Linked DNA regions of Nothobranchius furzeri. The protein of the gene in region 1 purifies or fractionates together with the protein of each later gene. This does not show direct contact. Links are inferred from orthologs where the notes say so. Each region holds a gene or a part of one and is shown on either strand. Other genes may lie near its edges.

What was found.
Region 2: the proteins of fbxo10 (region 1) and acsl4a purify together in Homo sapiens (affinity purification with western blotting; 3 studies listed by BioGRID, with this or other methods). This does not show direct contact. The link is inferred for Nothobranchius furzeri from reciprocal best matches to the Homo sapiens genes FBXO10 and ACSL4.

What each region holds. Positions count from the first base shown.
Region 1 is NC_091747.1:78,697,208-78,701,578, reverse strand, and holds the start of fbxo10 (F-box only protein 10), read right to left. Parts: upstream 2,844-4,371; 5' UTR 2,658-2,843; exon of another isoform or gene 2,626-2,657; intron 2,449-2,625; 5' UTR 2,405-2,448; coding exon 1,820-2,404; intron 1,738-1,819; coding exon 946-1,737; intron 781-945; coding exon 631-780; intron 563-630; coding exon 426-562; intron 1-425. UniProt on the Homo sapiens protein: Substrate-recognition component of the SCF (SKP1-CUL1-F-box protein)-type E3 ubiquitin ligase complex. Mediates the ubiquitination and degradation of BCL2, an antiapoptotic protein, thereby playing a role in apoptosis by controlling the stability of BCL2.
Region 2 is NC_091741.1:25,484,478-25,488,778, reverse strand, and holds the start of acsl4a (long-chain-fatty-acid--CoA ligase 4), read right to left. Parts: upstream 3,030-4,301; 5' UTR 2,892-3,029; intron 1,482-2,891; 5' UTR 1,346-1,481; coding exon 989-1,345; intron 916-988; coding exon 738-915; intron 652-737; coding exon 542-651; intron 329-541; coding exon 190-328; intron 97-189; coding exon 1-96. UniProt on the Homo sapiens protein: Catalyzes the conversion of long-chain fatty acids to their active form acyl-CoA for both synthesis of cellular lipids, and degradation via beta-oxidation. Preferentially activates arachidonate and eicosapentaenoate as substrates.

The DNA.
Region 1 (4,371 bases):
GCAGCCTTCATCTAAGTGTTTTAGGATTATTTTTGCCATCTGCATTGAGATCGTTTAGAGCTACAACTGAACTACAGATGTGACTGAGGCTGGCACGATATCAATAAATTGTTGATAAATGATTTCTATGATGCAACTAGACTCCGTTATCATATTTTAGCTTTATACAGTAAATATGAAAGATTTTCAGGTGTAAATCACGTAATAATGACGGTAGAACAGCTGCAATCGGACCAGAGCCAAAGGAAGCGTTATTAATGAGTGTCGCTCTACGGACATGTCAGCGTATCATCTGTAAAGAAATGTTTGTTGGTTTTTAACAACAGCTTCTGATTACATTTCTAGAAGATACAGAAACACTGAGTGATGTCCAGATGATGGGAAGTGTGGGATAGACGTGATCCTGTTTCTGGAGTCCAGCTCACCTCACCACAGGATTCCCGCTGAAGAGAACATACACGCCGGCTTCCTTGTTGTTATAGATCAGGTTGCTCCGAATTGAGCCTTTCCCGTTGCCAAGGACAACAACCCCAGAACGCAGACCGCTGTGTATCCTATTGCACTGCAGAACAAAAGAGGAAATAACGGAGAACACAGGAACACAGACAATACATTTAAAGCTGTTTCTACCAGAATAATGGGGTTGGCCCCTTTTCGGATATCCAGCCCGGCTTCCCCGTTAGAGTGGATGTTGTTTTCCGCGATGAGGCCCTGAGCCGACAGGCGCAGAAACACACCTGACGCGCGACACTCGCACACCTCATTTCTCAGCATCACAATCTGGAGAAGCAGGGAAAGAGGAAGCTCCAGTGACACTGCTGCTGAATTACTAATGACTCCAGCAAGCTCCTTAAGTTTGTACGTTAAAGGAAATGAAATCTCTAAAGATGTAACGGTGCGTTTGACAGATTTATCATGAACAAATATTATTTAGGTTGGGTTTACTGTAGAGTTTTGGATGCAGCGGACAGCGTAGTTCAGCCCACGGAACACGTTGTCCTCCAGACGAGCTTGTGCATAATTGGACAAATGTACACCTCCCTTCCCATTTCTGAAGAGGCAGCGTCTCAAAATGCAGCCAAGGATGGATGAGGCTAGGATCTGAGCCTCCGGGTCCCTGTCTAATTCCTGCTGAAGGGTGAGGGGGTCAGGGGCCGCAGACGGAGGGTCAGAGGAGGAGGCAAGTGGCAGAGAGCCGTCCGCTCGAGGCTTCAGCAGATGGGACAGGCTGTGATTTTCACATGGGATTTTGCAATCCAGTGTAAAGAGTTTTCTTGTGTTTTTCTCCTCCTCCCCCTCGCTGTGCTCACCATCACTCCAGCCGTCTCCGATGACGGTGCCCTGACAAACTGCTTCTCCACTTGTCCTTCTTTTCCAGTCCTCCATGCTCACATACTCCTTTGCAACCCCCCCTGGAGGATTAGGCTCAGGAGTGGAGCTGCCCTGAGGGCAGCTGGGGGAGCTGCTGAACTTAGATGGGAATGTCCTGGCCAGGGAAGTCAAATGTTTACAAGCCCAGTTTCTTTCGGACACTGGGGGGCCCTCCACAGTCACTGAAGCTGTGTCACTTCCTGAAAAGTCACAGCTGTCCAACAGACTGACGACGACACTCAGCAAGTGGGCAGAGCTTCCCTGGGAGAAGGAGCAAAATCGAGCCTGGCAGGTCCCCGGGCCACGGATTTGAAGCTGGGCTCCTTCAAAGTTGCAGTTGTCTAGTTGGACATGACCCCATGATGTCTAGAGGAGAGAAAGGACACAAGTAAGACAAATTCTTGATTGGGTTAAGACATTTGTTGATGTTGGAAAGCTGTTCTATCACCTTGTAGACAACCGTGGAGAACCAGGGAGGCATGAACACCAAGTTACACAGCCTGGCTGTAGGACACTGTTGCTCCATGCAGACCAGGAGGGCCACCTCACCCAGCTGGCCCAGACCAATCAGCTCCACTGGCACTTTCAGAACCACCTCGGCCTGTTCCTCGTACACTCCTGGATGGAGAACCACACGGTCGTATGGCGCCGCCACCCCAAGAGCTCCACGCAGGGTCTCAAACTCCCGTCCGGGCCCCACGTGCCAAACCCTGCGGTCTTTCCTCCTCCGGAAAAACAGGAGGCAGGCGGAGGACTGGAGCTCTTGGCCATTACGTGTCCAGGTGCGGGTGGCGAGGGTGTGCTGCTTCAGGGCCTCTCTCCAGGACAGTGGCTCCAGGTGGGGCTGGCTGGGCCAGTTGGGATGGCGACACTCGGGACAGCCCAGACACAGCTGCCTCCAGCGGGTGTTATCCAGGGAGAAGATGAGCTCCCGCCAGGCGCGGCACACCTGGCAGCAGCGGCCCAGGTCAGGGACAGGGAGGTAGGCCAAGATGAGCCTCCACAGCTCCACGGGGAGGCCGCCCGCCTCCATGGCAGCAGAGACAAGGTGGAGGCACCTGGAGACAGGTGGGGACTCTTAAAGGGACAGAAAACTCATTCAGTACACAATAACAAAGCCCATTATTATTATTAATAATAAATTATTTACTGTGCGCAAACCTGTAGTTAAACATTTAACATTTTCCAACCTAAAGTTATTTTCAAAGCGATAAAAACTGCTGGACTGATTATATAAAGTTTGTGAGATCCTACCAGCTAGCTAGCTAAGACACCGTTAGCTCCACCTTTAGCTGTTCGCCATCGTCCGATAATCCACACACGTAGGCTCGAAGCTTCCTGCTTTAATCCGCCGCAGCCTCACATATCAGCGGGAAGAGCCGCCTCACAACCTCCGCCGGACTTCATCACTTTCCATCATGCAGATGTGCAAACGGAGCTACCGCAAGACGACGCAGATCTCCATCTTCCGCTTCCAAAAAGTGGGCGTTTCCCTTTACGACCGCTCTCCTCCTCCAGCTCCTCCCCCGCACGCGCATGTTGGAGGAACGCCGCCGTCCAATCCGCTGTTAGTATGACCTTTTGGGGAAATGATTGGTCTGGACACCTGCACAAAGATTAGAGCGCCCATGTTGTCTTTACATTTTCCTCTTGGCGCGATTAAAGTTTTTCTAAATGCGTCTGCTTTTAACCTGAGGCGGACAAGAGGTATCAGACCCAAACAACCGTAGCTGCTTTAAGATCGTCTTTTCATCAGGACTGCAGACTAGTGATGGGAATTCCGGCTCTTTTTAGAGAGCCGGTTCTTTTGGCTCGGCTCACCAAAAAGAGCCGGCTCTTTCGGCTCCCAAGTGGCTCCTCAGATTTTCTGTTGCCTAGAGTGCATTTATAACCAAAATAATGCAAAACTATACGTAAAATGATTTACTAATGTAAAAAAATGCTATATATCAAATATTTATCATTTCTATGGATTTAATAACTGAACACTTTCAGAAATCTCCACTTTCCGAGTGCTAGCGCTCATTTTCTCACCGTCTTCGTCACACTCTCCTCTCTCTCTCTCTTGCTCTTTTCCTCCTCCTCATTCCCTCTCGTCTCCCTCCGCCCGCACTTGCTCTGCTGTGTGTCTGAGTCTGATCCTCCCTCTTCCCCGCCCCTACTGTTCTGTGTGTGGACAGTCTGGACACGCAGTTACACATGTTGACCAATCAATCGCCTGTGGCTTTCACCAAAGCAAAAGGGAGGGGGGAGGGGAGGGGATGGCTCCCAATGATGAGCCGGCTCCCGTCGTTCACTTCAAAGAGCCGGCTCTTAGAGCCGGTTCGTTCGCGACCGACACATCACTACTGCAGACACAAAACAATTAATATAAAGACTGTGTAAAAAGGTCCAGAACTCATGATACTTCAGATAAACAGTAAAGAAGATTTGTGCAACTGGCATGTAAAAGACACTGATAATTACACAGGGTGAACAATTTACACGTTTGGACAGCAGTGGGGCATTATTAGTTTTAGACACAACGAGGGTTGCGCAGGGCTTGCATTAAACGATCCAGTAAAATACTTCACATACTGATTGAAAAAAGTATGAAAGTTAATTTTACTACATTTTATTTCAGTCATCCACAAAAATAATAAAATGTGTGATGTGTTTTATTTGTAGAAAGAAACAATAATAAAAAAAGAAACAATTCCCATCTCACCCTCTGTGGGTGGTCTCATCACAGACATATGTAGTAGACGCACCCCCAATGCATTCATTTCTAATGAAGAAGGTTTAACTAAAAATCACATTTTATCAAGCTTTTTTTACAAAATCAGACACATGGTATGCCATGATAGTTAAAATACAAACATAATTAAACAAAATAAATAAAAATATAACATCCCATCAAGTAGGCTATATTCAACATATTTTCAATCATCCCATGTGATCTGTTTTCAAAAGTAGGCCCTACTTAAGAACATCACCTGTTCTGAACGATATTAAATTAGC
Region 2 (4,301 bases), on another chromosome or scaffold:
GAACTATCATGACCCCTTTAGGTCTTCCTGTAGACCCGCTGGTGTACATCACCACAGCCAGATCGGAGGGCTGGGGCTTCACAATGGCTCTTTCTGCTGCAGGACAAACAAGACAAGCATCGTCTTGTACTGTGAGCGTGACGTTTGTATTTGACTGATTTCACCTAAACACACGAGAGAAATACACACTGTTCTCCGGCTGCGCTCCCAGGTCTCGTACCGCCTGCATGCTGTGGAGGGACAGTCCTGCTGGGTATCCTTCGGTGGTCACTTTCTTCTGGTCCACGTAGATCACGTGCTTCAGCTTGGTGATCTGTGGCAGCACGTGCTGGACAGGAAACACAAACACCTTTTATTAATTTTGATTTACTGATTTCCTCTCAATAATCTGAAACCGGACAAACCGAAGACACCGGTCTCTCTAAAGTATTCTCTTCTTGGTATTTCCTCACAACAATGATCTAAGCAACGCAATGACACACTCCACTAGAACAAACCAGTTAGTTGGTTTTAAACTTGTGCTTTTAGGAGATAAGCTCACTTTCAGTTTGGTCTCCAGCAGCTCTGCGCTGGTAACTACATGAGTCACCCCGGTCTCGTTCAGCCCATACGCGATGGCCTCCTCTCCCAGTGTGGCATAGAAAGTCACCACTGATTCAACAGAAAGAAAAAACAAACCCTGAGTGAGAACATCGATAAGCCTGAATGAACACATAATCTGACTGTTTCTTACTTACACGGAAAGTTTTGCCTGAAGCACGCCTGAGCTGTGATCATCCACTCCGCTCTGGTCTCACAGAAGATCGCGATGGTGCTTTTGGGCTGCTGCCCCAGAGCTGCTAACCCACTGCCAAACTCACTCACTATAGAGTCCACTTCATCATAGGACAGCCACTTGTACTCTCCCATGATCAGCTACAACGAGTAAACAGTCAAACACCACAATCGGCCATTAGCTAGATTAATTAAATATAACGAGCAGCCCTACCTTTTTAAAAACTTTGCCGTTGGGCTGAATATCGTTCTCCTCACTCAGAATCTCTCTGGTACCAAGACAGTGAGCGTCTCTGAACCGCTGCACAGCATGCTTGAAGAGCTTATCCAGGGTGTTGATGCCTGGGAAGTCTTCTGTGGCCAGGGAGTCAAAGTGATCCACGGAGCGGTACGGACCATCTGGAAAACCTGACGTAGAACAAGCTTTTGTTCGCTTGGACTGAGATTTCTTTTGGCCGGCTTGAGTGATGAAGTACCAGGGTAGGAAGGAGATCGTTGAGTACAGCCATATCAGCAGGTAGACTGGAAACAGGAGGATCAGCTGGAGGGTAGAGACTGCCTGGGCAACCATACTGGTCTCCGGGAGAGTATTCACCAGTTTCTGCTGGGTGTTTATAAGTAATTCTGGGGTAGTCTGGAACTAAAAGGCCCAGCAGCACACAGATTTTCTGTGGGGGTCTCCTAGTACAGCCTCCCAGCTGAGTTAGCTAAAGTTGAGATAAAAACAAAAAAGGATTACAAGTTAAAAGTCACCCAAAAGAAAACAACTGTATCAAAGAGGAAGCAGGATAGTTCATCTGGTGCCAAGCGTCTTATGAAAAAACAGAACAGTTAAAAAAGGCGGGTTTGTAAAACAAAGAAGTGAGATAAACATTTATGAAGGATCCCTTAATAACCTGTTACATGCGGTTTCAGACCAGACTCACCTCCCGCTTGCCCCGCTTTGATAAATCAATCAGCATGCAGAGCTTGATTAAATCAAAAGCCTTGAAAGGGAAATGGATTAATCAGGCCCCGCCCCTTTGTTTAAACACCTGTCTTTATCCTCCAACAATGAGCAGGTTATCTAAAAGGTCAGTGTGGAGACATTCCCCCCTCAGACCAGACTGGCCACTGTCCAATGACCACAGGACAGTGAATGGACAGAGCCACAGACGACCAATGACAGTACTCTTAAGGCTCACTCCACTCAGTGGCCAGGGAGGGTCACGTTAGGGCAAGCCCGGCTCCTCTCGGCGGAAAGGACGGAGTTAACCAGTCCAAACTGGGTTTTACTTTAGTGGCGGAGTAGAAAACATCAATCAGGGGAAAGTATGAAAATGGCGGCATCACTATGAGTCATTTGAGTTAATCACACTTTAGGTGCACGTCAATGACCCGTTTATACTATCAGAAGGAAATAAATAAGGAAAAGATGAATAATGGTGTGATGTTTGAGCACAAGCATTTTTCCCATTCCCCTTACAAAAAGATATTTCATAGGATCTTGTGCAACAGCAGGACGTGCCCACTTCTAAATAATGACGCACATGTTGAAATCTACTGACTTCAGGGAAAATAGTCATTCTTACAACCGGTCCACCCTGACAGACACCAGATCAAATATCAAAGAAATTCGTAGGAAATGTGCGGCTACATCAGACTCACATAAATCACATTGTACCGGGCCAAGAGGCGCACGTGCTGGATCTATTTTCATGGCAGCGCCACGTTTTTTGGCGCATTTGGCCACACATCACGTCTAAATTTTGTATTTTATATCAATATAAAACATCGTACTATCTCCGCTTTACGTTTCCCGTTCTTGAAATAGTCATTAAACGTTCTGGAAATAAAACCCACGAATCTTGATGAAGCTCTGACCGTTAAAGTAGCGCGAGCCGTAAAGGCTAAACAATGGGCGAGCAGTGGAGCGGAACACGCATAGAAAAGCCGCCTCTTGTTGCCACTGATGCTGATAAAGCAACAGAGGAAGTTATCACCCAGCGAAGATGTTCGCTGTGGCCCAAACAAACCACCAACACGTCATTCAACAAACGGATAGAAACAGTAATGAGATTACGGTTTCAGCGCGCGAGTGATACTCTGCTTAACTCGTAGGCTTGTCATATTCTTACCGTGAGCGGCAGAAAACGCTGCCTGTCGTAGCATTGGTCTCGGGACAAATGACCGAGAGTTACCTTTTCTGTGGGGTCTAGAGACCCGGAACTTTACGTCATCTGATTCCATATTTTTCAACCAATCAGAAACCGAGCTGGTCCTTGCCCTCGGTTTTTCTGTTACGTCCGCAAGATGAGAAACAGAACAGGAAGACTGTATTTTGTTTTTTCCGCAAGCACAGAAAGGAAGATGTATACCTTGTTATAAATTTGTTAATTATTCTAGCTAAATTCTATCTCCACAAATGCAAGTATAGTAACCAAAAACCTAATTTCAAGCACTATAATAGTGACACTCTATCTTACATAAAATTGATTAGTGGATCACTAAACAAAAAAACTTTAAAAACTATAACTATTTGCACCACCTATAATTTATTTGGATGTGTGTAACATTTCTGTAGTGCACTGCACCCCCTGGCATATGTTTCATCTTCTTTGTTCAATTTTATATGCAATTTGTTTTCTATACTTATCACCTTGTTCAATAAAGTTTTGGGAAAAAAAGACTGTGTGGACATTTCCACGTTGTAGGGACATTTTGCTGGTCCACACAATGCTAAGGATCGTTATATTTGGTTTTAGAGGTATGTTGAGAATACACTTTCAGTGTATATTAGTTTAGGTTAGGGCTAGGAAAAAGAAAAAAAATTATATTTTATATAGCACCTCTCAAGATAAAGAAATCACGAGGCGCTTCACAAAAACAAAAAAGTATTTTTCAAAAATGATTTGATTTAATTTTTAAAATGACAAAAAAATAAAAAATGGGATTAAACATGCAAGGAAAGGGAGAGAGAAAATGAATAGGTAAAAGGAAAATCGGTGGGAAAGGCGGAAAAGGTAGAAAGAGCAGAATAAGAAAGAAAGAAAGAAAGAAAACAATCTTTTATATAGCGCCTCTCAATATAAAAATCACGAGGCGCTTCACATAAACAAAATTAAATGTGATGGGACAGACAGCTCTTGTCTCAAGGGGAGAGAGTTCCAGAGTCTCAGGGCCACAGCAGCAAATGATCTGTTGTCATCTTTGGTTTTTAGCCTGGTGCTCTGCACAACCGATGGGCGTTGGTCACTGGAAGAAGAACCCTATTGGTTAGGGTTAATAGTGGAGTCACTAAATGAATGGAAGTCAATGGAGGTTCACACAAGCATATACGTGTGTGTGTGTGTGTGTGTGTGTGTGTGTGTGTGTCACCATAAAGCAGTTGAAGAAAACATTATTTTTAATTAAAATAACAAATAAAAATATGAGATTTAATGGAAAATGTCTAGTTTAGCAACAGAAGTGGAAATTGATTTTGAGATTTTTTTTTTCACCAGGTCCGCCAACTCACAGAGATCCTCGCATTTGGTTATAAGAGTTGC